3 linked regions of the Anolis sagrei genome follow. The protein of the gene in region 2 purifies or fractionates together with the protein of the main gene of each other region. This does not show direct contact. Links are inferred from orthologs where the notes say so. Each region holds a gene or a part of one and is shown on either strand. Other genes may lie near its edges.

Region 1 (10,486 bases), on a different chromosome or scaffold from region 2:
TTTGAGGTGTTACCCCTTCTTTGACTTCACTTTTCAAGTATGCACTGGTGCACCATTAATCATAGGAAATGCAAAAATAAATAATATAGTTCCCTTGGATTTTTGTGTGTGAATACTTAACTTTTCCTCTCATTTTTTGTATATACAGTTGAGGTATTTTGATAACCCCTAACCTTTACTTCAACAAGGAGGTACAGTATAAAAATGTTACCACAGATTTCATATGAGTAGCTTTCTCTAAGAAAACGTTTAGATGAATATTTATTGGAAAAAAAGGAAAAGTTTCTATGCGGACTGACTAAGCTCAGCTTCGCTCCTATAGTTTAGACCACCAGAGTATAAAATTAAAAGCACATGGATTTTGAATCACTAGAAAAGGGTTGTAATTGATTAGCGCTGTTTGAATGTACTGAAGTCGAGTAAGTTTTGATTTGTGAATGGTGCTATTCAATAAAGATTAATCCTGTATGCCTGATAAAATCTTAGCTTCTCCAATGAATTTGCTTTTTTCACTTACTTGTGTGTTTAACTGTCAAATATTTAGTGTTCTTGTCAACTAACTAGAAAGTGTTTTCTTTTTAGGCAAATTTTCATAAGATTGTGACATTTGAATAATAAGAGGAATATTATTACTTAAGGGATCAATATGCAGACCTGTTCATTCATTGCCTATACAGTATTTGAGATGACTGTGGATTCAGAAGATGTGAAGTAAAAACATTCTGGCAGAAAGAGACTTGGTTCTGATTGGAAGTGTTCAATATGTTCTCCCCTTATCACAATTTTAAATTGCTACAAAATATTTTACCAGGTGATTTTGCACCTGAAACTTCTGATACAAATATAGCAATGTACTTACTTAAGTGCTCTGTGACTCTTCTCAAAGGAGTAAATAACACGAGTGACTCATATAACTCACAGAACATATGTTTATATATTTGGGAAAGCATATTGAGTGCATCAATACATGACACCATCTAAAAAAACAATTGTGTGATTTATTTTGACTTGTCTAATCATGGTACCTAATCATTGTTAGGTAATGTACCATAATATTTGGATTCCCAGAAATGTGAGCTATCTTTTCAATTGGTATGTTGGACAATTTCTGTTAAAAGTAGCAAGAGATGAAGAAGATGAAACAGAGGAACGACTTGGTCATCTCACCCATGCATTTTTTTAACCTTGTGTGACATTTGGAAGATCAGGAGTAAAGTATGGGCTCTGGCCTCTTCCACACAGCTGAATAAAATCCCACAGTATCTGCTTTGAACTGGAATATATGGCAGTGTGGACACAGATATCCCAGTTCAAAGCAAATATGGTGGGATTTTTCTGCCTTGATATTCTGGGTTATATAGCTGTGTGGAAGGGCCCTCAGTCTGGCCTGATCTTCATCACTAGGTCCATTGAAAGGAATAGGGGCAGCACAAGAGCACATAGTGGGCTTCTTCATTTAAATTAACTCCTCTTCTATATTTTTGGTATGTTTAGAGTAAATGTGCTATTGCTGCTTTTACCTGCACAATAAATTAACCGGCTAAATTATAAGTAATCTAGATCAAGGCCTCAGATACTGAATTTGCATTCATTTATAATATGAGTTACAAATAAATGATATAAAATACACTTGCTGCCATAAGTACATGCGGATTTTTAAAAAAGATTACCTAAATCTCTCTTGGATATAAATGGTGGAAATTACTAGCTTATTTACTAGCCAACAATAATGGTCTTCATTCTAATGGACAGGTGATAATTTGGCCGACAAGGAAGCCATTGCTGATTAGAAGAGATTGCTGAATGGAACAGTAAAGCAACTGATGCATTCCCATTGGCATGAATCAGAACTTTTCATGGACATATACTAGCTGTAAATGACTTAAGATATTTATATTACTCTTTTGAAACAGCTACCAAACAACAACAAACAGCTTTAACCTTTAACTAAATATTGCCACCACAAAATTGTAAAGAGCTATTAATATTTTGACCTGAAAATTTATTATTGTTTGGCCATTTCCTTGGCCAGTCTTATTTCAACGTGGTAGATTTGGAAGGATGATTTTTTCCGTGGCCTAGACATTTTCTGGTGATTTAAAGAATGACCCAAAGGAGAAAAATTAAACAGTTAACCCAAGATATAATTTTGTCAGCTAAACTTCTTGTTATTTCTTTTTGGATGTTAAAGAAAGTCCCTGTACGTGTAAACTGTTCTTCCTGTTATAAACGCTGGAATAATGTGGTCTGGCTACCTTTATGCTGTGCTTCATTAAAGTAGATGTTTGGGTTGAAAAAAATGCTTGCTATTCTAAAAAGCCTTGGCCTTCTGTGCCACATTTTAGCATGCTGGTTGCCTAATTACGGTGTAGCTCAGTGTGACAAACTTTCAGAAAGTCAGCTTTGAGGCAGAGGTCTATATAATGCATTCAAATGTCTTTGGATATCAGAAATTACACAGGCCCCTCTGTTCCCTGAGTACAAGCCTTGCTTCATATCTAATTGTGCTCGCAGATTGCACTAGATTCATATGTTTCGACAAGAGCCAGTTGAAACGTGTGAAGTAGGAGGGGTAAAAGGAACTCCGGCCATCAGCTAAAGAGAGAAGACAAGGTGGGTGCCTGCACTGAAAGCATTTCAAGCATCAATCAGGTCCCCGTTGCCCCCCCCCCCCCCTTAAAAGAAAAAGGGAAATTTATTAGCTTACAGCCTCGGTATAATTTTGAACCAGATGGACAACGTTAAAGGAATATTGTAAGTGTTTTGATTTTTTCCCCTCTGTCTCTGTGTTGATCTTGTTTAGACATTTTTGAAAATATGTTTGTAGTATTTCCAAGGAAGGAAAAACACCTCTCTGGCTGCTGGGCAAAAATCCTTTGGGGTTTAGACAACTGTATCTTTAGAAGCTAAAGATCTCAGCACTGCTGCCTGCTGTATAAAACTCCTAGTCGTATTATGTATTCTTAAACAAAATTTGGCAGTCTTTTATTTCATGTGGTATTAATATATGTTACTGACATAATTTCAAAAACAGATCCTAGATGGCCAAGATCAAAGGGTTGTTAGAGGTGCTGCTTTACAGCTTGGGAACTTTCCTCGTGGACTGCATTCATTCAGTGCCTTTGCTGAGTTTACGTCTTATCCTAGGATGATATTATAAGCCGTCTGTTTTAAAAGAGGCATTGGCAAAGGTTTCAAAAACATTTGCAACATTGGAGGTATCACATCCATCTGCATCATTCTGTTTTGCAAAAAAGATCTCCGTATGTATGTTAATCTTTTCAGAAGAGCATAATGTGTTTCCTTTAACTTTTAGTATATTTGTAAATACATTTATAACATTGAGAATATGAATTGATACATTATAAGTCAGGTTAGGTACACAAATTTGCCAACAACTGTGATCCTTAACATAAATTATTCTGAAATTTGTCACATCTATTTACATGGAAAGAAGGATAGTTTCTCTGTGCTAATGCATTGTTCGCAGTGGAGTATGGGGCCTTCTTATTATAACAAAATATCGGGATCTACGTTGATCCGTCTATTTTGTCTTCTATATGACTTGATTGCAATGTGATGATACAAATTTGAAGAATTCTGTCGCTCTGAAGTTTGTTAATATATCGTGGGATATACCTATTTTAATAAATTTAATAAATGAAAAAGCTGATGGGCCTTCATTCAGTTGGTTTAATATTGATGGCCCACATTGTAACTCTATATTTGTAAAGCTGACTTCAGCAGTCGTAAGTTTTCCATATAGGTGCCTGATTATTCAGAGAATTGCATAATGAAGAGCACACCTGTAGCTCAAGGAATTGTAGACATAGTAAAATAGTACTATTCTGGGTATTTAAAAACAACAACAATGTTATACACAGTTCTATTTCCACTATGTTCAACAGTATCAGTTTAAACAGAAATAGGTAATGCATAGTTCATTGGTATCAGCAATATTTCATAGCATTTGGCAGTCACTTACCCCAGAAGAAGTTTTGTTGACAAGGTGTCACTGAGCCGAAGAGACTGTTTGATGCCATCGCTCTCCCCTCTGCCACACAGTATGCGATTATCTTCTGGTGCAAAAACTGTCTGAAGCCTTAAACTGAAATCACAAACCATAGCCAAGCTTGATTTTAGTTTTTACAGCATACCCAGGGTGCATATATTTCTCTTCTGTGTCAAAAAATTCTGCAGGATGGGTAACATGCTACAGAAAGCAAAGAAACAAAACAATTCCAAAAAAGGAGGGGGGATAAGCAAATATTAGACAGATCTACTATTACTGAATAGACTGTGGTTTGAGAGTACTTACTGACTCTGTTGGTCTCAGTGGCTGCTGGTGACCTGTTGAGATTAACCATTTAAAAACCAAAGGCTTCTCGCTGTGTCCTTTTGGAGAAAGTTTGCACCGCACTTGTGGTTCTGTGGTTGTTTGTGAGGCAAATGAAGCATTCACACAATCCAAAAAAGCAAAAGCTTTAAAAATCCCTTTTTTTGCAAGCACTGTTACTGGAGAGACAGAATCATGTGGTTGGTGACATCATAGTAGTCAAGTAAAGTGGGACTGCCCAGCACTGTGGCTTTTTCTTTCCTCCCCCTTTTGAAAGTCTGACAAAAGGCCCGTGGTAAGGTCCTTCCTGGTATCCAGAAGGATATAGCTTTTTAAATTTTATGACTCATGAGGATTTGGAGGGCATACAAAATGCTGAAACAGCCTAAACCCCTGTGCTGTTTAAGCATATGGACAGCAGAACTTCGTTTATACTCTCCCTGCCTCTTTTTCTCTTCTTTCTAGCCCCCCCCCCCCCCATCCCAATTGTGTCCGTGGAGAAGCATGCCAGAATTGGCACAAATGTCTGTGTGAAATTCTGAACAACAGTGATGATTTACAGTAATTTACATCTTTGGGCTCTATCATGATCTTGGGGTCTGCTTCAGATTTGCTGGATTCCTTCTGTTTTTCTTTTTCTTCTCTTCCTCTGCTTGTGAATCTGTAACTCATTGTAAGAAACTTTACCTTTCCTCAAGTCCTACTAGCAGACAGCTTACTGAGGCTGTGTTTTGGGTCTGTAATTGGCTGTCACCAAAGTGTTAGTCTGGGGATTCTTTTGCAAACCTTAAATCATGTCTGTCTAGGTTACGTGCTCCCAAGGCTAGATGGCAGCTTTATTAAGTGCAATTATATGTCAACCTTTTCTGTTCCGTACAAAACTTGTCATATACATATGGTAACATCTACATTTTAAAATGGAGAACGGGAGGATATAGAATAGAAAGAGTTTAATATTAAAATTAATGCCAAATAATTATATACTTAGTATATTATAGAAAAAAAAAGAAGAAAAAACAGCGCTTACTGTAAGCAGATTTTGGCAAGCAAGTATCAAGTAATTGGAATGCTCTCTTTGAAAGTGAATGCGAATCTGGTTCATTTGTCCTGCCTGGACAGATTGATGTGTATGTTTATATGGCCTCTTAAAATGGGCTAGAATGCAATTATCTACCAAAGGCTACTTAATTATATTCACGCCCATCATTAAAAAGTGAATCTGCCTAGGATTTAAGCCTCAAGTTGAATTAAATTATATTGTGTAGGTTTTTTTTAAAAATGTCAGGAGCGATTTGAGAAACTTCAAGCCGCTTCTGGTGTGAGAGAATTGGCTGTCTGCAAGGATGTTGCCCAGGGGACACCCGGATGTTTGATGTTTCACCATCCTGTGGGACGCTTCTCTCATGTTCCGCATGGGAAGCTAGAACTGAGACAGGAGCTCACCCCTGCTCCCCGGATTCGAACCGCCAACCTGTCGGTCAGCAGTTCTGCCGGCACAAGGGTTGAACCCATTGTGCCACTGGGTATGTTGGTGAAAGAATAGAAATACTTTACTGTGGTATTTTTTATTTGCCCATTTGTGTTTAGAACGAACTTAGAAACATCTTTGACAAATTATCTAATCTTTGTCCCTATTACTCCTGGTGCAGTAGAGTCTCGCTTATCCAACAGAAACAGGCTGGCAGAACGTTGGATAAGCGAAAATGTTGGATAAAAAGGAGGGATTAAAGAAAAGCCTATTAAACGTCAAATTATGTTATGATTTCACAAATTAATCACCAAAACATCATGTTTTCCAACAAATCGACAGAAAAAACAGTTTTCAATACATGGTAACATTCTGTAGTAATTACTGCATTTATGAATTTAGCACCAAAACATCGCAATGTATTGAAACAGCTGTGGATCTGGGCGGAAGACAGACTGTGTTGGATAATACAAAATTGTTTGATGAGCGAAGATTGGATAAGCGAAACTCTACTGTACTTCATAGTTTTAATGGCAGGTTTGGATGAACTAGTTTTCACAAACTGAACCATTAGTTACCAGCTTTTTAACACTGCTTCCTAAAATGTGGGTCCGGGTGCCAAATGGGACCCCATTAGCTCGATGTTGGTATCACAAAAACAGTAAAAGGTTTCTGAATGCCACCCACTGATTTACTCAAATCTGTTAGGAACAACATGCAGTTTTTACAGTGGACTCTGCAGAAAATGCTTCAGCTGTACACAAAAAGGAAAGTCAGCCTGTTTAGCAAGCCTTGTAAATGCTGATTTATTATTAGTAAATATTTGATTTATATACCTGTTTTATATACCTATATACCCAAAAAGGGGTCACGAGTGGAAAAAAGTTTATGAAGCCCTGTTCTAGATTACATAACAGTTGCCTCCCTTGCACTTAACAATCATCAGGCATTTCAAGAGGGCCACAGTAAGGATCTTTTTATAAATTCACATAATTAAATTTAACTAATTTAAATGATGGCTCAGATGTGAATGATACAATCAAAAACTGGATATTATACATATGTATGTACAGTATATTATCAAATATGCATGACATTTGGACTGGATGCTTTTAAAAAATTTGTTCAGCAATTTTGGGTTTTTACTTGTTATAGTTTGATACTAGGAATGATACTTGGAAATAAACCCATCCTCATGGATGGCCATCTATTGAGAGTGCTTTGAATGCAATTTTCCTGCTTTTTGGCAGAACGTTGGACTAGATGGCCCACAAAGTCTCTTCCTGTTCTATGGTTCTATGTAGATGGATTTTGAGACTTACAGTGAAATTCTTTATGGTTCTACTCTAAAATAAAGCCAATGCACTGCTCACATGACTATATCAGGCTGGCTCTCAGTGTAACTTACTGCTAGGTAAATGAATATGTAAATGTATATAAGATGGAATAAATTTATTTAGGGAGCATCAGCGTATTTCCGAGCGTGTTTTTTCTTGCTTGGAAATATTGGTAAGGAAACCACGGTTGGAAGGTACTTTGAAGCTTGGAATAGAAGATACATTTTTTCTTAAACAAAGCTGTAAGCTATATATTGACATATTTTTGAAATCTGCAGTTCTTCCAGCAACCTAAATCTTGAATGTTTAAATAATTTAAATAATTTCCCTAATATGAGTGAACATTACATTCGTTAAGGCCAATAAACACTAATCTTTGTGCTTCTGTATAGCTTGTGTGTTTGTGTGTTAGACCTATTTGCAGTTTTATTTGGGATTATTTCTTTGTTTTTGTTTTTTGAGATATGGTGTGACAAGTTCTGTAATGCAGATTTAAAAATAAACATGCTTTGTGGTTTGTCTTCTTTGAAATGGCTTATACATATTTTAAAGATAAAAATAGAGTAATAATATGTCCTTTTTGTTTTAAAAAGATATGTGTGAAGGTAAAGATAATTCTATTTATGTTATCAACCATGTACTTATTTATTTACAGTATTTATACCCCACCCTTCTCAACCCTGAAGGGGACTCAGAGCGGCCTTACAAAGACAACAATTTGATGTCATATACACAACAGACATAAAATAAATATATACATTAAAACATGAATTTAAAAATCATATAAAATTAAAACACATTATTAAAAAACACAATCCAAAATCATAGTCAAAAAGCCGTTCCAATTGTCATTGCACATTTTCCCATCATCACTTATTGCACTGCACTACCATCAGCAGCAACAACTTTAGAACAAAAAAAACTGAAGCAAACTTTGAAAGTTACTTTTTTTTACCATGTGACAACAGTATTGTCCAGAAATCTCTATTGTGGTTTGGTAGCAGCAACATATTTGTATTATTTTTAACTTGTATTATTTTGATAAGTAGTTAACCTTGGGTCCCATTATTTGGAGAAAGTGGGATATAAATAAGTAATAATAATAATAATAATAATAATATGCACTCATCATTCGAAAATACATCACAAAGTCCTAGACATTTGGGAATTGTTTGACTTGTGATTTTTTGATACAAAATCCAGCATATAGATCTCATTTGCTGTGACATACTGTGCTTTTGTGTCAGTAAAATAATATGCTTTTTAATCTAAAAGTAAACATCAATTTTTCTAAGTTAGTTGATCCAAGAATGTTTTTGGACATGATTGAGGAAATAATTTAAAAAAGAATGGTCCTGCAAACCATGCACCACCTTATATTAACAGCATGATCACTGATGCATTTGGATCTATTTTACCATAAAATCATGAACAAGGTCATTTTCCCCAATCCATATAACCTCCTGAACCACAAAACGTTCAAAATCCTTTTGGCAAACCTGTAATCCTCACTTTTTGTGTGGTGTTTAAATGTTTATATTTATTTGCTTTTAAGCAGTGCGTACAATGTAAATAATACATTTCAAAAAATTATTCGTGTTGAAATAATTTGTTTTTATAACAGATCTAAACAGTCTATTTTTTCTCTGAAAAATACCTTGTATGAATAGCCTATAGAAAATATTTCTGTTTTGGTAGTTCTGTAAAACGTCTGTAGTATGCCTTTTAAAACTAACTGGTAGCCACTGCTGTCCTAGCTTGAACTCCATTGCAATATTGCAAAATAATATTGTACCATTTAAGACCAATGTGACTGTATTCTATAAATAAACTGCAGGCCACTCTCCTTTGTAGTCCTTTGTACTTTTACTAGCTTTCTATACCATTCCAAAATGCTATAATACTTAGCACAACATCGCTAAATACTATAATTACAGTATCTCACCATTTTGCATCAACATGCTTCTGCATTTGTAATGCAGTAGATATAGCAAGGTTGTTATATTATCATTAAAACTTTTCCCTCTGCCAGAATGTGAATTAATTAATTTGAACTGTTTTCTATATTCATATGGCAATAGTGATAACATATATCAACTCAAATAATGGGAACAGTGTCAGCATATATGAACTTTTTCAACTTTTCATGCTTGCAACCACTTTCTGCCTGGGAAATGTTTGTTACCTCAGGTATATAGGTTTATAAAATAGATGATGATGATGATGATAATAATAATAATAATAATAATGTAATAATAATATAATTATTAACCACTTCTTCTCACAGCTTGAGGTGGGATACAACATGATAAAACTATTAAAATACATATAACAAATATACACGGGTAAAATGCAGGTTAAAATTGACAAGTGAAAATTGATTGGATAGGCCTATCCGGAGAGATGGGTCTTCTCAAATTCCAACAGCTGATTTGCTGATGAATCAGCATTTGCAAGACTTGCTAAATAGGCTAACTTTCCTTTTTGTGGAGTACAGTTGAAGCATTTTCGGCAAAGTCCACTGTGAATGCTGCACCTTGTTGCTAACAGATTGGTGTAAATGTGTGGCGTTCAGACACTTACTGTTGAAAAAGTTTCATGACTCCAACATTGAGCTAAGGGGTCCCATTTGGGGTTGGGATACGAACGCAGTAGGTGCCCTTTTTGTTTAGTTACATTTATATCCCATCTCCTCCCCCCCCCCCCCAATTATTGTCACAGCCTTTTAGAGAAGAGACTGAAGATGAAATGTAGAGAGTGATCCAAAGTCTACCGGTGAATTTCATAGCAGAGACTTGAACCTGGATCCCTCAAGTCACAGTTCCACACTCTAACCATGTTGCTGGCTCTTTGCTGAGGAAGTATTTAATTTTTCTCACATTTATGAAGATGCAAGAGGGATCTCCAGATGCAGCAGGAAAGGGGGATCCAGTTTATCTCTTCCCAAGAGGAAATTAGGGATGGAATTGTATCTTATTTGAAGAAAGCTTGAGGCCTTCTCCATTTTGAGATCTTGCTGAATTACATTTACAGCTGCGAAGGTATTTCTGAAGGGGGGTCAGGTAGGAAGATCTTTATTAAGCGGAGTGCTTAGAATCCATCTTCTTAAGCTTTCATTCATATAGTCAAGCAACCCATGGAGGGCACTAAATATTGCCTGCTGAAGTAACTCTCAACTTTCATATATTGAGCAGAATACAAGAGCAGACTTTAAGAGAAAGGCGGAGAACTCAAGCTCCAGTCCTTTCCCAAGAAGCATTCACCCTTATCCACAACAACAACAACAACAACAACCACCACCACCACCATCATCATCATCATCATCATCATCATCATCATCATCAT
Region 2 (11,153 bases):
AATAATTTTTAATTGGCATGCAGATATTAAAAACAAGGAGGAAAAAAATCTCCCCACTTACTACTTTTTTATTACCCTCAAATATATGACAGGTTGATTAAAGAGCATCAGATAGTTAAATATATGTGTGTCACATTCCTTTGACAATCATTTTGTTCTGGATCAGGTAACATGCTTCTGTCTATTCAATTCCACTTCAGAGTGTAGGTGGATACTGGTTTGACTGAATGTTTATCTAATAAAATAAATGTTTGCCTTTAAAAAACTAACACATTGTGAAAAGACTACCCTAGAATTCCTCTAGTGTAATGGCTTGAGTTAGAGGACTATGACTCTGGATGCAAGGGTTCAGGCCCACACTTAGCCATGGAAACCCATTGAATAACCTTGGGCAAGTCACATTTTCTCACCCAGAGGAAGGCAAAGGTAAATGCCCTCTGAACAAATCTTGCCAATAAAATCCCATGATAGTTTCACCTTATGGTCGTTGTATGTGGGAAACAACTTGAAAGCACACAACACCATCTAGCATTCCTCTCTCTCATTTAGTATTCCATGTGAAGGAATGGTAATGATGACATATGGGAAACATTCAGCCAAGTTAGTTCACACCTGCAGTCTGAATACAGCCCACACAAAGATTATCTTCTCAGTTCAGAGATAGCCCTGAGCCTGGTTGACAGATTACAGATTAAAATGAGATAAAAACATTCAGAGATAGAATTCCTATAATTGCGACTCACAGGTGGCAAAATAGCTGTCTTCTCAAAATGGTGTGCCCCGTAAGGGTAATTGGCTGGCAGTTGTTGAAGATAGGGGACTGGACTAAATAATGCAGATTTCCTTCATATTGCCACACAGGGTGAAAATAATGCAAGTTCTGGAAACCAATAAATGATGTGGAGTTAATCTTTTAAAAAATGTTCTGAGCAGATCTTAAAAAAATAAGTTTTATGAACTAAGTCTTCCACCAGGCATGTAGCCGGCAAGGGGGGGGGGGGGCTTGAGGGGCTTACTGGTACATTATTTAAACTGTTATTTTATTCATATCATGATCTGATCACCATGCTCAATATATCCCATATGCATGGGGGTATTGGGGTAACGATACAAAAGGTTTGCTAGGGTAGACCCTCTCTCACTCAGACTCAGCTGCCCCCCAAAATCAAACTCGGCCCCCGCCCCCCAAATCAAAATCCTAGCTATGGGCCTGTCTCCCACAATGCTTGTTTTCTTTGTTTTCCAAGCTCTGGTTCCAACCCGACAAAATAAGTACCTTACCTTCTTTCTCTGGGATGGGCTCTGATGTTTTGGTCTTCAGATATTGTTTTATTCATGTCAAATCACCATTTTGTGTTCCAACCGTTAAAATTTGTAAACACTGGAAGTCATGTGATGACCAGTGTAGGGTTCTGTCCCCAAAACAGTCTGGCAGCATCCTGGAAAGTTGAATTTGGTGAATGTGATGAGGTCGCAAGTCCTGTTTGGCATCATTTAAGACATATATTGGACATATGGGTTGGGGATGAAATATACTGTAACATCTGAATCCTTTTGGTTGCAGGAAACAAGTCCAAGACTTCAATTTTCTTTTATTCTTGATCTACTACTCCTTCAGTGCTATGTCATTTACAATAGATATGATTTGTAGTCTCATGGCCAACAGGACAAATAAAACATAGTACTGTACTTGATACAGTAGGTAGAAACTCTATCTTTTAATGCAGGGTCAGGACCCCTGGGGGAGTTTACGAAGGGGTGTCAGAGAAGTCACCTAAGACCATCAGAAAACACAGTTTTTCTGTTGGTTGTGGGAGTTCTGTGTGGGAAGTTTGGCCCAAATATATCATTGGTGGAGTTCAGAATGCTCTTTGATTGTAGGTGAACTATAAATCCCAGCAACTACAACTCACAAATATCAATTCTATTTTCCCCAAACACCACCAGAATTCACATTTGGGCATATTGAGTTTTCATGCCAAGTTTGGTCCAGATCTATCATTGTCTGAGTCCATAGTACTCTCTGGATGTAGGTGAACTACAAGTCCAAAACCTAACGTCAATGCCCACGAAACCCTTCCAGTATTTTCTGTTGGTCATGGGAGATTTTGTTTGCCAAGTTTGGTTCAATTTCATTTTTAGCGGGGTTCAGAATGCTCTTTGATTGTAGATGAAATATAAATCCCAGCAACTACAACTACAAATGACAAAACCAATCCCTCCCTCCAACACCACCAGTATTCAAATTTGGGCATATCGGGCATTTATGCCAAATTTAGTCCAGTGAATGAAAGCACATCCTGCATATCAAATATTTACATTATGATTCATAACACTAGCAACATTACATTTATGAAGTAGCAACAAAAATAATTTGATAGTTGGGGGTCACCACAACATGAGGAACTGTACTAAGGAGTTGTGGCATTAGGAAGGTTGAGAACCGCTGTTTTAATATAAGTGCTACATGATGAGCAGAGCAATACATCCATCATACTTTTCTCCATCAGTACATCTTTATGGAATAGTAGGAGTACCAAATACTTTTCTCCTCTGGGGCTGCTGGCTTTTAAAAGATGATAACTCTGTCCATAGCCTCCATCTCATTTGTGAAAATATACTCCATAATATATGCCTATCCTATATCCAGAATCCTCTTTGACATGTTACCATGGTCATGAAATATAAAGGGCCACTCCACACATTCTAGCAGCTGGAATGAACATCAGAGCTTCGCCAACGTTTTCTGCAACAAAACATACGTATAACATGTTTGAGAAATTTGCCCAAATATTTTTATAATGAGAATAAAGTCTGATGTTTGATGTCTACATCCTGTGAATTTTCTGCTGTAGACTAACATTATAAGATATGGAAACATTCAACAGCAACAACATGAGTTAGAGTTAGGAACAATATACAAATGTGGACTTTAACAACAAAGTGTTTCTTTCCAACTATTGGGCATTTTAGGTTTTTGGACTATTAATTTCTGAATTCTATAGCCAGGGTTAAATGAAGCATTAGTCCAACCAGAGCAGATCCAATGAAATCAATGGAACTCATGTTGCTTGCGGCTAATGTCAATACGTTTATTTTAGTTGGGACCATCATTGGATTTCGCCCATTGTCTTCATCTGTGTTGTGTGTCCATGCACATAGGCACAAGAAGAGAGTTTTATGGCACCAAGAAGACTAATACATGTATTGTGGTATAAGCTTTCACAGATTAGAAACCACTTAAAGTGCATGACTTCACACCTCGATAAAGAGCTACAATCAATAAAAGTTTCTGCCACAGTAGGAGTTTTCCAGCACCAGGAAGATGTTATTTTTGTCTGCGTATAAATAACAGCACAACCTACTGCATGCTAAACCAGAATAGAGCTCCAGTGCTGATGTGAGAATCATGTGGCCCTCCAGGTCTTGGTGAACTTTAATTCCCAATAGTCCTGGGTAGAATAGCCCATTGCAAAGAATGTTAGGAGTTGCACTTCAAAGACTTCTGGAGAGCTACAAAATACCAATTCCCTGCTCTAATAAGTTCAGTGGATTTCATTAGCCAGTGCTTAGGTCTGCACCCTAATGGAAGGAACACATCCTCTGAAATTTTATATACACCTATCTTACCATGTGATTAATTGCATCCTTAAATTCATGAATCTCATAATCAAATACACTTTATTATAAGTACTTACAGTTAGTATCAGAGTTATCGCTGGTGGGTGGGGGCACACAAAATGAGGAGACTGTCCCTTTCCAGATAAGCATTCTGGCCCTGAAATGGATTTTTCCTCCATTCCCCAAAGTTCTTGTATAATAACACTTCCACATTTTTTTACTTTTGCAGATTTGGTTACTATTATCTCTGTAGCACTCTCTAGGCCCTACAGTATGATTCTATGGGCAATTTCCCACGAAAGTTAACCATAGTGTTATACCGAAGGACTTAGAAATACATACATACACCTCCATCCTATTCCAAAAGATGTACCATAAATGGTTCTGGACCAGCTTATCTATCTGAATGTATCTCTTCTTATGAACCGTCTAGGAATTTAAGATCTTCTGGGGGAGGCCCTGCTCTCGGTCCCACCTTCTTCACAGGTTCGGTTGGAGGGGATGAGAGATAGGGCCTTCTCAGTGTCCCTCCCTAGGGACATTAGATCGGCCCCCACCCTCTTAATATTTTGTAAAAAAGTCAAAACCTGGTTTTGTGAGTAGGCTTTCTCAAATGCAGTGTAGCAGATAACTTCTTGACCTCGGAACGACTGGACAATTGTTATCAGATAACAATTTTCGTACTGAGATGCAGAAGATTTATGCTTTTATTGATTTTACTGTTTATGGAATTTTATGTATGTTATATGCTTTTAGCTGTTTTTATATTATTGTGGCATCGATTTGTGCCGTTTTGTAAACCACCCTGAGTCACCCTCAGGCTGAGAAGGGCGGTATAGAAATATAGTAAGTAAATAAATGAATAAATTCCTGTTGTTCTTCCTTGAGGATAAAGGGTGCCCAGAATGCAGTTTGACTACCACATTCACTGCCATAACTCAAAGGCTATGGTATTAGTAGTAATATTAATAGTAGTACTATTTCACTATTATCTCTTTGATGATTGTGATGCAATGCGGCTGCAATCCTGGCAGTTGTTTGGAGAGGCCCCAACTCTCTCTGGCAGAGAAGACAAGACCTTGTAAAACTCCCATGATTCTATAGCACAACTTCCGAAGATGCCTGCCATTGATGTGGATGTAACGTCAGGAGAGAATGCTTCTGGAACATGGCCATACAGCCTGGAAAATGCACAGTAATCCAACGATTCCAGCCATGAAAGCCTTCGAGAACACAATAAAGGTGATGATTATTATTTGAAACACAACAAGATTAGTACACAGCAAACAAGATCATTATGCTGGTTGTTGTATTGGATCACACGTCGGACACTTCCCAAATGTCTAGGACTGTGTGATGTATCGGCGAATAATGCATGCAGATCCCAGTAAGGTGGCCTTCTGCAGCTGGCAGATGGCAATTTTGTCAGCGCCGATTGTGTTTAAGTGCAGGCCAAGGTCTTTAGGCACTGCACCCAGTGTGCCAATCACCACTGGGACCACCTTGACTGGCTTGTGCCAGAGTCTTTGCAGTTCGATTTTTAAATCCTCATATCGTGTCAGCTTTTCCAGTTGTTTCTCTTCAATCCTGCTGTCACCTAGGATTGCAGCATCCACAATCCATACTTTGTTTTTTAACACGATTGTGAGGTCAGGAGTATTGTGCTCCAAAACTCTGTCTGTCTGAATCCGGAAGTCCCAGAGGAGTTTGGCGTGTTCATTTTCTGTAACTCTTTCCAGCTTGTGATCCCAACAGTTCTTTGTTGCAGGCAGATGGTATTTGTGGCACAAGTTCCAATAAATTCTTGCAGCAGCTGAGGATGTGATCTATTGTTTCATCTGCTTCCTTGCAGAGTCTACATTTGGGATCTGTTGTCAACTTTTCAGTTCTGGCTTTGATTGCATTATCAAACTACAAGAAAGGAGATTCCATCTGAACATGAGGAAGAACTTCCTGACTGTGAGAGCCATTCAGCAGTGGAACTCTCTGCCCCAGAGTGTGATGGAGGCTCCTTCTTTGGTGGTTTTTAAACAGAGGCTAGATGGCCATCTGTCAGGGGTGCTTTGAATGCAGTATTCCTGCTTCTTGGCAGGGGGTTGGACTGGATGGCCCATGAGGTCTCTTCCAACTATGTTCTATGATGATGTTGATGATTATTATTATTCTTATTATTGACACAAAAGCACAGTATGTCACAGCAATCGAGATCTATATTCTGGATTTCATATCACAAAATCATAAGTCAAACACTTCCCAAGCATCTAGGCATTATTATTATTATTATTATTATTATTGAGTAGCTTTGCTGCTGCAAAGTGAGGGTATCTGCATAGATGTAGCTTGGCTGTTGTTCCTGGAGGCACCCTTTGTTTAGGCGGTGTTAACTAGCCATTAGTTGTTTGTTGTCTGGAATTCCCGTTTCTGAATGGCGTTCTGTATATGCTATCTTGATTCTGGTCTTTTCGATAAAATGATCCTAGCAGTTTGGGAAAGCCCAGGCAGAGAAGACTCAAGACTTTGGTCAAACTCTCTCCACTCCATAGCATGGAGAGATGGCAGTGAAAGCGGTGTCAAAGTGCATCCATTCCCCATTGTAGACGCCCCCAAAGCCAGGCGGGCCAAAGCTATGAGGGAGTGGAAGAAACCCTACTCTCTGGGTGCTTCTCAAACGTTTTCTGACCAAATTCAATGCAAAGGGGGAAAGGAGGGAACTGGGGGGAAAGAAGGCCGTCCTTCTGAGGGGAAGAGAGGAAGCCTCCTCTTGGGTTGAGAGAGGGAAAGAGAAAGGGAAGAAAGGAGGAGGAGGAGGCGGCGTTGCCACTCGCTCAGCCCTCATCCAGCCAGCCAGCCAGCCCTGCCTTCCCAAAAAGGGTGGGCCTTTTGGAGAGGATCCCTAGCTCTCGTGTGAGTGAGTGAGTGTGTGTGTGAGTGTGTATATATGTGTGTATGTTGTGTATTGGCAGCGGGGTAAGTGGAGGCTGGGTGGCTCCGACTCTCTGACGCCAGTGAGACCAGATCAATCCAGGAACAGCAGCGGCTGAGAAGAAGAAGGAGAAGGAGAGAGGGAGAAAGCAAGCAAGCAAGCAAGCAAGAGGGAAGGCGCAAAAAGCAGCAGCAGCAACATCCAAACGGGAGAGGAAAGAAACAGCAAGGAATCTTCTTGCCAATCTTCTCTTTTAGGAGGAAATCCTTTTCCTCCTTCCCCGCCTCGACTTACACACCGGTAAGCCCCATTCTTTGCTCTTTTTTCCCCCTTCTTCCATGTGCAACCCTTCCAGTCAGTGGCTGAATCTTTTCCCTCTCCCTCTGGGCAAGTGGGGGCCTTGCCTTGGCTCTCCTTCGAGAGAAAACCGGGTTGGAAGGGGGAAAGGGGACCCTGGGTGCTTTCCCAGCCTTCATGATGGCGGCGGTGGCGTTCAAAAAGAGCCTTCAAAACTTTTCCCCTTTGTATGGAGGGCCCTTTGTGGCTCCTCAAGGGAAAAAGAAAGAAAGAAAAGGTCGCTCTCGTTGCCTTCTCTCTTCAGGGAAGGAGATGCCGGGTGCCTCCAAACAACAAGGATTCCTGGAAGAGCTGAATCTTCCACGCTGTTACAGTTACACAAAAAGTTACAAGCGGTTTCCATCTTTTTCTTGTGTGTGTGTCTTCTCTTCCTGGAGAGGGAAGGGACATCATTCCTGGGGAAGAAGGGAAAGAAAGGAAAGAAAGCGCCCTGGGAAGGAGCCCCAGAAGGCCTTCACAGAGAAGTCCCGTTTGGATGGGGGCTCTTGTTCCCCTGCGGCCTCCTTTTGTGCCCAAAGCCAAGTCTAGGGAAACTTTTCCTGCTTTCCTTTCTCCTCCCGTTTCTCTTTCCCTCGTCGCCGAAGAGAAAGCAGCCCGGCCGACACAATGGAGGGGGGCTTGTCTCTCCCTTTGGGGTTTTTGAGGCACATGAAGCCAGCCCCCACCCCCATCCTCTTCTCTTTACTTAGGGCCCTATATCCCAGGATCTGATCCCAGGTTTTCTGCTTTAAACTGGATTATATGAGTCCACACTGCCAGCTAATCTGGGATAAACAGAAAAAACTGGCATCAGATCCCAGGATATAGGATAGGGCCTATTTGGAAGGGCCCTTAGTCCAAGCTTTGGAGCCTTTTCTTTGGGGGGTCTGGGAAAATGCAAGTCTTGGGGTGCATCTCTACACTATGGAATCAGTTTATTGTCGAAGGCTTTCATGGCCAGAATCACTGGGGTTGTTGTAGGTTTTTCGGGTTGTATGGCCATGCTCTAGAAGCATTCTCTCCTGACGTTTCGCCTGCATCTGTGGCAAGCATCCTCAGAGGTTGTGGGGTTGGCGTCAGTTGTTCAGAAGGCTTTCTTTTCAGTCTTTCTCTGCTGCTGAGAGAATGTAATTTGCCCAAGAATTTCCATGATCTAGAGTGCGTCTACACTGGAATTGATGCAGTTTGGCAACAATTGTTTCAGAAGGCTTTCCTTTCAGACTTTGCTTTCTTCTTTGGCCGAGAGAATGGAACTTGCCCAAGGTTCACTCCCAAGAATTTCCATGATCTGGAGTGCATCTACACTGTGGAATGAATGCATTTCGATCCCACTTTAACCACCATGGCTCAGTGATAGGGAATTATGGAAGTTGTGGTTTCTCTATTGCAGGTATGGGCAAACCCAGGCCCAGGAGCAGGATGCTGCCCCTTGGGCTCTTTTCTCAGGTCCTCCTCTCTCTCAACATCTTATGCTCCCTTCCTTCTGACTTTCTTTCCCCCCTCCCTTCCCCCTCTTTCTTGCTCCCTTCTTCCTTCCTTTCTCCTTTCTTCTCTCTTTCTCTTTCCTTCCTTCCCTTTTGTCTTTCCTTCTCTCTTTCCTTCCCTCCATCCATTCTCTTACACCCTTTCTTCTCTTCCTTCCTTCCTTCCTTCCTTCCTTCCTTCCTTCCTTCTTTCCCTCCCTTAACTCGCTCTTTTTGGCTCCCTCCTTCCTTTCCTTCCACCCTTTCCTCTGTCCTTCCTTCCCTCTTTCCTCCCTCTCCTCTCTCTCTTCTTTCCTTCCTTCCTTCCCTCTTGTGTTTCCTTCCTTCTCTCTTTTCTCCCTCATTCCCTTCCCTCTATCCATTCTATTCCACCTTTCCTTCCTTCCATCCTTCTCTTCCTCCCTTTACCTCAATCTTTCTTACTCCCTCCTTCCTTCCTTTCCTTCCTTTCCTTGCTTCTCTTTTGTCTTTCCTTCCTTTCTTTCCTCCCTCCTTCCATTCTCTTCCACCGTTCCTTCTCCTTTTCTTTCCTCCTTTCCTCCTGGGGGATGTTTAGGTGGGAGAAGAGAGGTTGAGAGGGAACATGAGAACCATGTTTCAAGATTTCCAAGGGTGTCCCACTGAGGAGGAAGGGGAAAACTGACTTTCTGCTGTTTTAGAGACCAGGGCACAAAGGAGCAGTGGGTTCAAATGGCAGGGAAAGCTATTCGACTGAAAAGATTAGGAAGAACTTCCTAAGAGTAAGAGCTGTTGGAGAGTGGCCTAGGCTTCCTGGGAGTGTGGTGGAGTCTTCTTCTTTGGAGGCTTTTCCACAGAGGCTGTCTGTCGAGAGTGCTTTGATTGTGCCTTCCTGCATGGCAGGGGGTTGGACTGGATGGCCCTTGGGGGTCTCTTCCAACTCTAGGATTTTATATCAGGAGTAGGCAATGTGGTGTCTAATGGATACACTTTTTCTCTCCAGTCCACCATCTCATCCTCACCAAGGCCAACCCTTATGGGATCCAAGTGTTTCCCATCTTTCCTTCATGTTTTGCTTCCGAAAGCGAAGAGGAAGGGGAGGAAAGGGCAGGGAGGAAACTTGGGGAGAAGCCCTTTCGGCCCACCCACCCACCCCACTCCAGCCCACCAAAAGGCCCCCAAGTTACAAAGTTTGCCCATGCTTGATCTACACTATGTGATGCAGTTTGACATCAGTTATTCAGAATGTTTTCCTTTCAGTCTTTGCTTTTCTCTGTGGCTGAGAAATTGTAACTTGCCCAAGAATTTCCTTGATCTAGAGTGCATCTACACTGTAGAATTGATGCAGTTTGGCAACAGTTGTTCAGAAGGCTTTCCTTTTGGTCTTTGCTTTCCTCTGAGTTGCAAAGCAGAAAGGAGAGTAGTTTTCTATTCCTTTGTTAGCAGTTGATGAAGCTGCATGTGAACTTGTTTAGATTTTCATTACCTGGTCTCAATATGAATTGCTGGTTTAATTTGAGGAGTGGCTTCAGGACACAATTGATCTTTACTATGGCTAAATATACATAAAATTAAGAGACACTAATTTTTGCTATATATTTCCAGCCGCAGTTGGTGCTTCCCTAGTGACTTAAATGTAGCTGTTACCCATAGGTTAAGAGTTTCTTGCTGAAAAGGCATATTGCAAACGGGTCGGAGGATGAATCACTCTTGAATACTAATAGAAAGCTGCTCTTAATTAAACTAAATGCACATCCGGAGTTTATACTTGAATTGCAGCCTCTCATGAAAATGCAACAATCTGTTTTAAATGTTCGAAGCTGTGCCCATTTACCCCATGCCACTCTGTCTGTATTCTTGTTTAAGGATTACAGCTGAGTAAATCTGTTTACCACTTCATCACACTAGAGAGAAAAAAATCACTTAAAATCTGCCTCTACAGAATTCTGGGATTTGTAGTTTAGTGAGACTGTTAAAGGCTCCTTCCTAAACTACAAACCCCAGAATTTTGCAGGAGGCAGAAACTGGATTTTAAGTGGATTTTTTCCTCTAATGTGATGATGACACTAGAGAAAAAAAATCAACTTAAAAAGATTTCTCTCCCAGTCATTTGGCTCCTGAGAAGATCACATTCTTTCAGACACTACCTTGAGCTTATGTGTGATTGTTGTTTTTTTCCTAAGGGTATGTTGCACCTAGAAACAAACAGCAGATATCAGCTGAAGACTGAAAAAGAACTTATCAGAACTTCTGTGTTGTCTGTTCCTCAAAAGGGGTTTGAACAGCTCAGGCCCTTGATAACAACGATACCTGGACCTTCTGTTCTCAAAGCATAACTAAATGGGTTTTCAGGACATGTTAATCGGAAGCTCAAAGGACCTTACAATGTGTCCTAGCTACCTCTCAAGATAAGATCATCTTAGTTCAAGGCCAGATTGGGTTACAAGGGTACTGATTTGTCCTTGTTTTAAGTCTGATCTTTTCTTTCCCTCTCACACACAAATGTAATCAAATACAGTTCTCTTCTCTGATATCTATCTTCCTGTTTCTGAGATCACACACACACACATACATATGATCTGGTGACTTGAAATACCTTGGAAAAGCATTTAGAAAGGCAAGGACAATATAGACCAGTCTTCTCTTGGTGATCTCAGATACACTGGATTGCAATTTCTATCATCCCCAGACAGACTGAAGAATTCCAAGGTTTGCAATAATGATGGGAAGGAAAGAGTGTCTATCACATGTTTAAAGAATACTGTAGGACAGAGTTTCTCAACCTAGGGGTCAGGACCTCGGTGGGGGGCAGGCGGGATTGCGAAGGGTCA
Region 3 (10,843 bases), on a different chromosome or scaffold from region 2:
TGCTGTTAGTTGTCAGCTTCCCCCTTCAAGGAATCACATTGTTCAAACTACTGAGACGGATGTATGGATTTCTCACAATATTACTGCTGGAGAAGAGTGCAAATGATTCAGTGCATTCATAATAATAATAGTAATTTTTTTCCCCTCATGTCAGGAGCAACTTGAGAAACTGCATGTCGTTTCTGGTGTGAGAGAACTGGCCATCTGCAAGGACGTTGCCCAGGGGACGCCTGCAAGGGGAGCTGGAGCTGACAGAGGGAGCTCATCTGTGCTCCCCCAGCCCACCCCTGGATTCGAACTTCCGACCTGTCAGTCTTCAGTCCTGTCAACACAAGGGTTTAACCCATTGTGCCACAGGGGGAATACAATAATAATAATAATAATAATAATAATAATAATAATAATACATCACACAGTCCTAGACGCTTGAGAAGTGTTCAACGAAATCCAACATATAGATCTTGTTTGCTGTGACATACTGTGCTTTTGTGTCAATAATAGTAATAATAATAATAATATTTTTGTCTTGTATTTTATGCTAAATGGGCTTTTATTTGTATTGTGTTGTGAGCCTCTTTAGGGAGAAAAAATTGGAATAGAAATAAAGATCTATAATAATAATAATAATAATAATAATAATAATAATGTGTTTATTTATATCCTGCTTTTCTCCCTAACGGGACCCAAAGACAACATAATACAATACAAATCAAAGCACATTTAACATAAAATATGAGACAAAAATCACACAAAGCACACTAAGGTCCAGAAATATGATATAAATAATTATCTCGTATATTTCATATCATATAAATTTATATTTCGTATCATATAAATTAAATATCTAAATATATATTTATAAATATATAAAGATTAAGCATGAAAAACATTTAAAACCAATTACAATATTTGTGGAGACTCATCCATTAAATAGCTATTAGTTTTTAAATTTTAATTTTAATCTAGCGATAAATGTATATTAAGCGTGTATGTTTATATGGGTCATTTGAGTTTTCATTGCCAGTTATTCTTGTTTAACTTTAACGTTCGGTGGCTTTTATACTGCTTGATGTGGCCTGTTTTGATGTAATTTGTTTGTATGTTTTTCCTTTCTGGCATTGAATGTTTGCCATATATGTTGGAAATAATAAAAACTATTTGCAGACCGCCCGAGTCCCTTTGGGGAGATAGGGCAGTCTGCAAATAGATTTATTGTTGTTGTTGTTGTTGCTGTTGTGCAAACTGACCTTGTTGTCATTAGCAATTGAATTCATGTGTCAAAAGCTTGCTTGAACAGGCAGGTCTTCAACCGGTTCTTTAAAGATAACAGGGAAGGGACAGTTTTCATCTCAATGGGAAGGGAGTTCGAAAGGGCTGTTAGGCTGTAAGGAATTCTGGGAGTTGAAGTCCAAAACACCTGGAAGGAGGGCCGAAGTTTGCCCATGCCTTTTATATATTATATATACTACAACTTAGGATATAATACAATATATTCTATAATACTAATAGCATATATAGTGTCATAATAATATAATTTTTATATTATATATTACATTTTACACATAATATTGCACTACAGAGCTATAGTACAATATAGTAAGATATCATACTAATATGGTGCTATGCTAATAATAGCATATTTTATATATACTACAACTTATAATACAATATATTTTATTATACTAATAGAATAATATTCTGGTAGTGTATTATATATTGTGGTATAATAATATAGTGCAACATAATGTATAATAGTTGGATATTATTATTAATATCTTATATATACTACACCTAATGATATAGCACAATATATTCTATAATGCTAATAGTATAATATACTGCCAGTGAATTATATATATTGTGGTATAATAATATATAATATAGTAATTGAGCATTATATGTTAGACGTAATATTACTAATAATATTGCATTATATTATATTACTAATAATATTGCATTATATGTTAGATGTAATATTATTAAGATTGCTTTATAGTACACCATAGTAAGATATACCAGTACTGTATTGTATTATGCTAATAATAGAACATATATCTTATATATATTACAGCTTATGATATAATATATTTTATAATAATAACTATAAAATACTGAGAGTTTATATTTATTGTGCTATAATATAATACAATAATTGCATATTATACATTACATGTAATATTACTAATTATATTGCAATAAAGTGAAAAAATACAATATAGTATTATATCATACTAATATTGTGCTATGCTAATAATATAATATTAATTATAATACAATATAATAATGGTATATTATATGTTACATGCAATATTAGTAAGAATATTGCCATATAGTGGTATATTACAATATAGTAATATACCATACTAATATTGTGCTGTGCTCATAATATATTTTATATACATCTAATATTGATAATACTATAATTTAATATAATATTAATAATAACTGTATATTATATGCTATGCTCATAATATATTGTACACACATATAATATTGATGCTATCATAATGCAATACAATATAATCCTAATAATACAATATAATAATTGTATATTATGTTACATATAATACTACTAATCAAATTGCAGTATAGTGGTATAGTAAAACATAGTAAGATAGCATACTAATATTGTGCATTGCTCATAATGTAATATATTGTATAATACATGCAATGTTACTAATAATATTACAGGATAGCAATATATTATATTAATATATAATACTAATACAATATAATAATATAATGCTAATAGAAGAATAACGTATAATACTAACAATACAATATAATAATAATGCAAGAATAATATAATAATATAGTACTAATATACAATAGAATAATACAAATATTATAGTAATATAATGCTAATACAAGAATAATGTAATATTACTAATACAATAATATATATAATACTAATAACACAATACAAAATATAATAAAAAATGAATAATATAATAATATGGTACTATTACAATATAATAATGGAAATATTATAGTACTATAATGCTAATACAAGAATGTCATATTAATAATACAATATTAATATGACATTATTCTTGTATATTACTATAATATTTCTAGTATTACATTGTAATAGTACCATTTTATTATATTGTATTGTATTATTAGTGTTATATATTAATATTATTGTATTATTAATATGACATTATTCTTGTATTAGCATTATATTACTATATTATTTGTATTATGTTGTAGTACCATATTATAATAATATGGTACTATTACAACATAATAATAGAAATATTATAGTAATATTATACTAATACAAGAATGTCATATTAATGTTATTGTATTATTAATATGAATAATATAATAATATGATACTATTACAATATAATAATAGAAATATTATAGTAATATTATACTAATATAAGAATAATGTCATATTAATATTATTGTATTAATATGAATAATATAATAATATGGTACTATTACAATATAATAATAGAAATATTATAGTACTATAATGTTAATACAGGAATAATGTCATATTAATATTATTGTATTATTAAGATGAATAGTAAAATAACATGATACTATTACAATATAATAATAGAAATATTATAGTAATATAATGCTAATACAAGAATAATGTCATATTAATAATACAATAATATTGATATATAACACTAATAATGCAACATAAGAATAACAAGAATAATATAACATAGTACTAATAATACAATATAATAATACAATTATTATTATGTAATAATAATACAATATAATGATGATAATATTGTAGTAGCAAGGATCCAATGTATAATATTGCAATGTGCCAGGCCTGGGCCCACTTGGGCCCTCCCTCCAGGGGGTTGGGACTCCAACTCCCACCATTCCTAACAGCCTACTACAACTCCCACCATTCCTAACAGCCTACCGGCTGTTAGGAATGGTGGGAGTTGTAGTAGGCTGTTAGGAATGGTGGGAGTTGTAGTAGGCTGTTAGGAATGGTGGGAGTTGTAGTCCCAACCCCCTGGAGGGAGGGCCCGGCTGTTAGGAATGGTGGGAGTTGTAGTAGGCTGTTAGGAATGGTGGGAGTTGTAGTCCCAACCCCCTGGAGGGAGAGCCCGGCTGTTAGGAATTGTGGGAGTTGTAGTAGGCTGTTAGGAATGGTGGGAGTTGTAGTCCCAACCCCCTGGAGGGAGGGCCCGGCTGTTAGGAATGGTGGGAGTTGTAGTAGGCTGTTAGGAATGGTGGGAGTTGTAGTCCCAACCCCCTGGAGGGAGGGCCCAAGTGGGCCCAGGCCTGGCGGAGGTTTCTCCGCGTCCTTACCTTGAGGATCTCGAGCTGGTCGGCGTTGCACCGGGAGCAGTAGATGTGGAGCTCGTCGCAGACGGCGTTGATCTGCTGGAGGGAGAAGTCCCTCAGGACGGAGTTGAGGATCTGGGGCAGGCAGAGGCGCTTCTCTCCGCCCACCACGAAGCAGGAGATGGTCTCCCCCTCCAGCACGGTCTCGCAGCGCTCCGTGGAGCGGTCCGAGGGCAGGAAGAAGGGGCCCGAGGGCGGCGCCGGCGGAGGGGGAGCCAGCAGCTCCGCGCCCTCCTTCCCGGGGCCTCCCCCGCCGCCTCCCCCCTTGTAGATCTCCTGCGCCCAGCGGGCCGAGAAGGCGGCCGGCCCGCCCAGGGAGCTCATGGAGCTGAGGTGGAACTGCTCCAGCGTCTTCTGCAAGCCCGGGTGAGGGTGGAAGCCCCCCCGCGTCACGGCCTCCATCTTCGGGGCAGAGGCAGCGAGCAAGGCCGGCCAGGCGGGAGGCTCCACTCACTCCTTCACAGGCCGCGGCCTCGCCTCACCATCCTCACCCTCAGCGCCTCCTTCTCATGATCCAAGTTCTCCTCACGCGGCCTTCACCGGGGAAAAAAACATCGCCAGGCACACTCCGAAATTGAACAATCCCCTCAAAAAATAATAATAATACAAGAAGAAGAAGAAGAAGAAGCCGGGTCCAATTGGGAAATCCTGAGGTAAATAACGGAGAGTCGCCCCCTCTCTCTCTTCCTTCTCCTCCGCCTCACGTCCTCCTCCGACGCCCGCTCCGGACAGACTGAGGGGAGCTCCGGCGCCGAGATGCTGCCGCTGCGTCTGCGCACGCGCGGAGCAAGAAAGGGGTGGGGCTTAGTGCTCAGCTCCGCCTCCCTTCGCTCGAACGTCCCTCTCACTCCTCTCTCTCTTCTTGGCCCCGCCTTCCCTGTTACTCTTTGCGTAAGGGGCGTGGCCTCTTCTCCCGCTCCGCCTCCCTTCCCTCCGACTTCCCTCCCTCACTCCTCTCTCTTCTTGGCCCCGCCTTCCCTGTTACTCCCTGCGTAAGGGGCGTGGCCTCTTTTCTCGCTCCGCCTCCCTTTCCTCCGACTTCCTTCCCTCACAGCTCGAGGGGGCGGAGCCTCGTGTTCGGCCCCGCCTTCCCTGTTACTCTTCTTGACAGCTTAGAAGATGAGACGTCGCCCCGCCTCCTTGTGCGTAGGAGGCGTGGCCTCTTCTCTCGCTCCGCCTCCCTTTCCTCCGACTTCCTTCTCTCACTCATCGAGGAGGGGGCGGAGCCTCGTGTTCGGCCCCGCCTTATACTTAAGGGGCGAGGCCTCTTCTCTCGCTCCGCCTCCCTTACTTCCGACTTCCCTCTCTCACACCTCGGGGGAGGGGGCGGAGCCTCAAGTTCGGCCCCGCCTTCCCTATTACTCTTTGCGTAAGGGGCGTGGCCTCCTGTCTCGCTCCGCCTCCCTTTCCTCCGACATCCCTCTCTCACTCCTCTGGGAGGGGGCGGAGCCTCGTGTTCGGCCCCGCCTTCCCTATTATTCTTTGCATAAGGGGCGTGGCCTCTTGTCTCGCTCCGCCTCCCTTTCCTCAGACTTCCCTCTCTCACTCCTCTGGGAGGGGGCGGAGCCTCAAGTTCGGCCCCGCCTTCCCTGTTACTCTATACTTAAGGGGCGTGGCCTCTTGACTCGCTCCGCCTCCCTTACTTCCGACTTCCCTCTCTCACACCTCGGGGAGGGGGCGGAGCCTCAAGTTCGGCCCCGCCTTCCCTATTACTCTTTGCGTAAGGGGCGTGGCCTCTTGTCTCGCTCCGCCTCCCTTTCCTCAGACTTCCCTCTCTCACTCCTTTGGGAGGGGGCGGAGCCTCAAGTTCGGCCCCGCCTTCCCTGTTACTCTTTGCGTAAGGGGCGTGGCCTCTTGTCTCGCTCCACCTCCTCCCTAATACAAAAGGAGGCGGGGCTACTAGATGGAGCGCCTTCCGTCACTCTGAACACCCGGCCTCGCAAAAGGGGCAGGCAGAGGGCGGGGCCTGGTATTAAGCCACGCCTTCCCTCTGAACACACGGCCTAGCAAAAGGAGAGGAGGGCGGAGCCTCGTGTTAAGCCACGCCTTCCCGCTAAACACCCGGCCTCGCAAAAGGAGGCGGGGCCTCGTGGTTCGCTCCGCCTCCCTTCCCTCCCCCTTCCCTGTCACTGAGCCATCGCCCCGCCCCTTTTGCATGGCGGAGGGGCTTCGAGGTTCGCTCCGCCTCCTTTCCCTCCGCTACGCAAAAGCGGGCGGAGCAAAATATGGGGGCGTGGTCTCGAATTGTGCTCCGCCCCCTTCCCTCCTGGCGGCTTGAGGGGCGGGGCTTTGTTAATCGCTCCGCCTCCGTTCCGCCGCTTTCCCACTCAATAAAAGGGCGGAGCAAGGGCGGAGCCTCGGCAATGCTCCGCCTCCCTCTCGGCGGGCAGCCCTCGGCGCGTGCGCACCACGGGAAAAGGGCGTGGCCTGTGCGCTGTGCTCCTCCTCTTTCTCCAAACTCTCCCCTCCGCCTCCCTCTCCTCGGGGCGACAGCGCGTGCACGCTACGAGAAAGGGGGCGTGGCCTTAACTGCACTCCTCCTCCTCCCTCCCAAAATCTGGCTTCTTCCGATAGGGGGCGGGGCCTGGGTGAGGCTCCGCCCTCTCCTCCTCTTCCCTCCCTCCTCGCCACTCTCAGCAACAAGCCAATATACAGGCGCGCATGCGCACTGGTTCGAACGTTTGATAAAGTTTTTGGTTCACAGGAGGCTCCGCCGGGGAAGGAAAGGCGGGCGGGCGGGCGCGTTAGGCTCCTTTTCTCAGCCTTTCTCTTTAGTTTTAAGGCCAAAGGTTGAATTCCTCCTCCACCCAATCCCGTCCCTAGATATAAAAACTGTAAGTTTTATAATCTAGCAAGCGCTCAGATATTTTCAATTCAGATTTGAGGATTGCCTCCCCATTCAAAACAACTACACAGTCAACTATTTCACAAATCAAACATCTAACCTGGCTGAAACTTTAGACTCTCAGTTTGGCTTGTGAATAGGGATTATATATTATGATATTATTATCAATGAAGACATATAAAAATGGATCATGTCTGCCCCCTCGTGACCATCAAGCGTATTGCTTTCTAGTTAACCAAACATCATGACCTCACAACCTCTGAGGATGCCTGCCATAGATGTAGGCCAAACGTCAGGAGAGAATGCTTCGGGAACATGGCCATATAGCCCGGAAAACCGACAACAATCCAAACATTACTGTGAGTTTTCCAGGTTTTATGTCCAATGTTCCCGAAGCATTCTCTCCTGACGCTTCGTCCACATCTATGGCAGGCATCCTCAGAGGTTGTGAGGTTTGTTGGAAGCAAGGCAAGATTCTTAGAATCATACAATTGGAAGAGACCTCATGGGCCATGCAGTCCAACCCCGTTCTGCCAAGAAGCAGGAAAATCACGTTCAAAGCACCCCCGACAGATGGCCATCCAGCCCGTTTCAAAGCTTCCAAAGAAGGAGCCTCCTCCACACTCCCTCCGGGGCAGAGAGTTCCACTGCTGAACGGCTCTCACAGTCAGGAAGTTCTTCCTCATGTTCAGATGAAATCTCCTTTCTTGTATTTATTAGGGCTGGGCAACCACGAAAAAATTTGTTTCTAAACTCGATTCGTTTTTAGGGGGGGTTGCATTTCGTTTTTTTAAAAAATTCTGAAATTTTTCTTTAAAAAAGTTCAAAATTTACGAAATTTCGGAAATTACGAAACAATTTCGAAACAATAACGAATCGATTCGTTAATGGCGGACGCGATTGCACAATACGCTAAAAAACCCTCCAAATGGGACAGGGGGAATTTCTGAAGCTTCCCTCTCCCTCTGTTGTTGACTGTTGGTGAAATAATTTATTTTTTTATCACTGATAAAACAAACAACAACTATAAAACTTGCACCAGACATACGGAAATAATAACGAAACAATTACGAAACAATTACGAAATAAATTTTAAAAATTCGTTTCGATTTTTAGTTGCTCCTGAATGGTTCAATATCGGATCGTAAACCAATTTAAATATGAATTATTAACAAAGTACGAAATTAACGAACGAAACCGCCCAGCCCTAGTATTTATTTATTTACTTACTTACTTCATTTATATACCGCTTTTCTCAGCCCTCAGGCGACTCAAAGCGGTTAACAGCAGCAAAAATACAATGCAAAATATCATAAAAGGATTATGGGACAGTTAAAACAATAGCATCATCAACAATTAAACATCAAATCGTAGTTTGAAGCCACTGTGTCCTAGTCTCCAGGGCAGCAGAAAACAAGCTTGCTCCCTCCTCCTCCCTGTGGCTTCCTCTCACATATTTATACATGGCTATCATATCTCCTCTCAGCCTTCTCTTCTTCAGGCTAAACATGCCCAGCTCTTTAAACCGCTCCTCATAGGGCTTGTTCTCCAGACCCTTGATCCTTTGAGTTGCCCTCCTCTGGACACATTCCAATATCTCTCTTCAATTGTGGTGCCCAGAATTGTACACAATATTCCAGGTGTGGTCTAACCAAAGCAGAATAGAGCATGGGGAGCATGGCTTCCTTAGATCTAGACACTAGACTCCAAACCCAAGAGTGGTGTATATATCTATGGAATAATGTCCAGGGTGAGAGAAAGAACTCTTGTCTGCTGGAGGCAAGTGTGAATGTTGCAATTGGCATTGAATGGCCTTGCAGCTGATTGCTGCCTGCTGCCTTCGTGGAGCATTGAATGGCATTGAATTGCAGCGTTCTTGGAGGGATCCTTTTTTGAGAGGTGTTAGCTGACTCTGATTGTTGTTCTTTGTTTACTATCCTGATTTTAGACATATTTGTTTTACTACTGGCAGCCAGATTTTGTTCATTTTCATGGTTTCTGTTGACATTATCGACATGTTTATGGATTTCAGTGGCTTCTCTGTGTAGTCTGACATGGTGGTTGTGAGAGTGGTCCACCATTACACGTCAACTGGGCTCTCCAGGCCAATGGAGACTCCACCACAAACGTCAGAAGAGCTGCAAGGCCAAGAACAAGCCACAAGAGTCAAGACAAAAGCCCAACTAGAGGAAAAGTGTTCTCACCATATATCAAGGGAACCACTGAATGTGTCGCAGCTCAGAGTAGAGTCACCTTGCTCCAAACACCAAACCACACAAAGGCTGAAGATGTTGTAGTTTATTGAAGAAAAGAAAAGTCTTAAATGCAAAAGTCCCAAAATAGCAAACAGCCTGAGGCATAATCCAAAGAACATTGATCAAACAAGATTCCATGACAGCAAGACAGAGTCCCCGGAAGCCAAGAACATGGCCCAAAAGCTAAGGCAATCCAAAGAAGTTACGAACAGAAAGATGGAGTGGCTATGGGGAGCCCTCTCAGCTAACTTCTACATGGAACACTTTGAAAAACAAGCCCTAGAGACAGCAACAAAAAAGCCCACGATATGGTTCAGAGATGTGGATGACACTTTCACCATTTGGAGTCATGGAGAAGAGGAACTCAACAGGTTCCTGGACCATCTTAATAGCATCCACCCAAACATATGGTTCAGAGATGTGGATGACACTTTCACCATTTGGAGTCATGGAGAAGAGGAACTCAACAGGTTCCTGGACCATCTTAATAGCATCCACCCAAACATATGGTTCAGAGATGTGGATGACACTTTCACCATTTGGAGTCATGGAGAAGAGGAACTCAACAGGTTCCTGGACCATCTTAATAGCATCCACCCAAACATATGGTTCAGAGATGTGGATGACACCTTCCCCATTTGGAGCCATGGAGAAGAAGAACTCAACAGGTTCCTGGACCATCTTAATAGCATCCACCCAAACATATGGTTCAGATATGTGGATGAACTTTCACTATTTGGAGCCATGGAGAAGAAGAACTCAACATGGTGAATATCCAGTTCACCATGGAAAAAGGATGGTGGTGTATTTCAGACAGAGGCGGGGCCAAGAGCAGGGCCTCCCTAGAAGATCTTAAACTCCAAGGTGGGCTGTAGAAGAAGATAAGTTCAGACTGGTACACTGGACCGGAGTTGAACGTGATGTATGTAGACAGTCCACGTTTTGCAGGCGTATAGCAGGGTTGGGAGGACAATAGCTTTATAAACAAGTCCCTTGGTATCCCAACGGATGTCCTGGACCTCAAACACTCTCTGCTTCATTTGGAAAAATGCTGCACTCGCAGAGCTCAGGAGCTGCTGTATTTCAGTGTCACAAGCATGTGGACAATGTCAACAGAAAGGAGGAAATGATGAAAATGAACAAAATCTAGCTACCAGTATTTTTAAAAAACCTCTAAAATTAGGAAAGTAAATAAAGAACAACACTCAGAAAACAGGGGAATTCCAGACAAGAATCAATCAAGTCCAGCTAACACTTCCAAACGAAGGATTCCCCCAGGCAGCAATCAGCCAGGCTTTGAAACTACAAGGCCATTAAATGCTAATAAAGGCGGCCAATTGAAACATTCTTTTTCCCACCCTGGACATTCCATGCATGTATAAACCTCACTTGCCTAGTTTCCAACTGACCTCAC

What was found.
Region 1: the proteins of SMAD1 (region 2) and RUNX2 purify together in Homo sapiens (affinity purification with western blotting; 3 studies listed by BioGRID). This does not show direct contact. The link is inferred for Anolis sagrei from reciprocal best matches to the Homo sapiens genes SMAD1 and RUNX2.
Region 3: the proteins of SMAD1 (region 2) and SKI purify together in Homo sapiens (affinity purification with western blotting, with the first as the bait; 3 studies listed by BioGRID). This does not show direct contact. The link is inferred for Anolis sagrei from reciprocal best matches to the Homo sapiens genes SMAD1 and SKI.

The regions. Positions count from the first base shown.
Region 1 is NC_090021.1:148,149,269-148,159,754, reverse strand, and holds the start of RUNX2 (runt-related transcription factor 2), read right to left. Parts: upstream 4,538-10,486; 5' UTR 4,319-4,537; intron 4,109-4,318; 5' UTR 4,044-4,108; coding exon 3,986-4,043; intron 2,755-3,985; coding exon of another isoform or gene 2,732-2,754; exon of another isoform or gene 2,692-2,731; intron 2,614-2,691; exon of another isoform or gene 2,557-2,613; intron 1-2,556. UniProt on the Homo sapiens protein: Transcription factor involved in osteoblastic differentiation and skeletal morphogenesis. Essential for the maturation of osteoblasts and both intramembranous and endochondral ossification.
Region 2 is NC_090025.1:47,267,734-47,278,886, forward strand, and holds the start of SMAD1 (mothers against decapentaplegic homolog 1), read left to right. Parts: upstream 1-6,402; 5' UTR 6,403-6,844; intron 6,845-11,153. UniProt on the Homo sapiens protein: Transcriptional modulator that plays a role in various cellular processes, including embryonic development, cell differentiation, and tissue homeostasis.
Region 3 is NC_090033.1:1,174,551-1,185,393, forward strand, and holds the start of SKI (ski oncogene), read right to left. Parts: upstream 5,088-10,843; 5' UTR 4,732-5,087; coding exon 4,294-4,731; intron 1-4,293. UniProt on the Homo sapiens protein: May play a role in terminal differentiation of skeletal muscle cells but not in the determination of cells to the myogenic lineage. Functions as a repressor of TGF-beta signaling.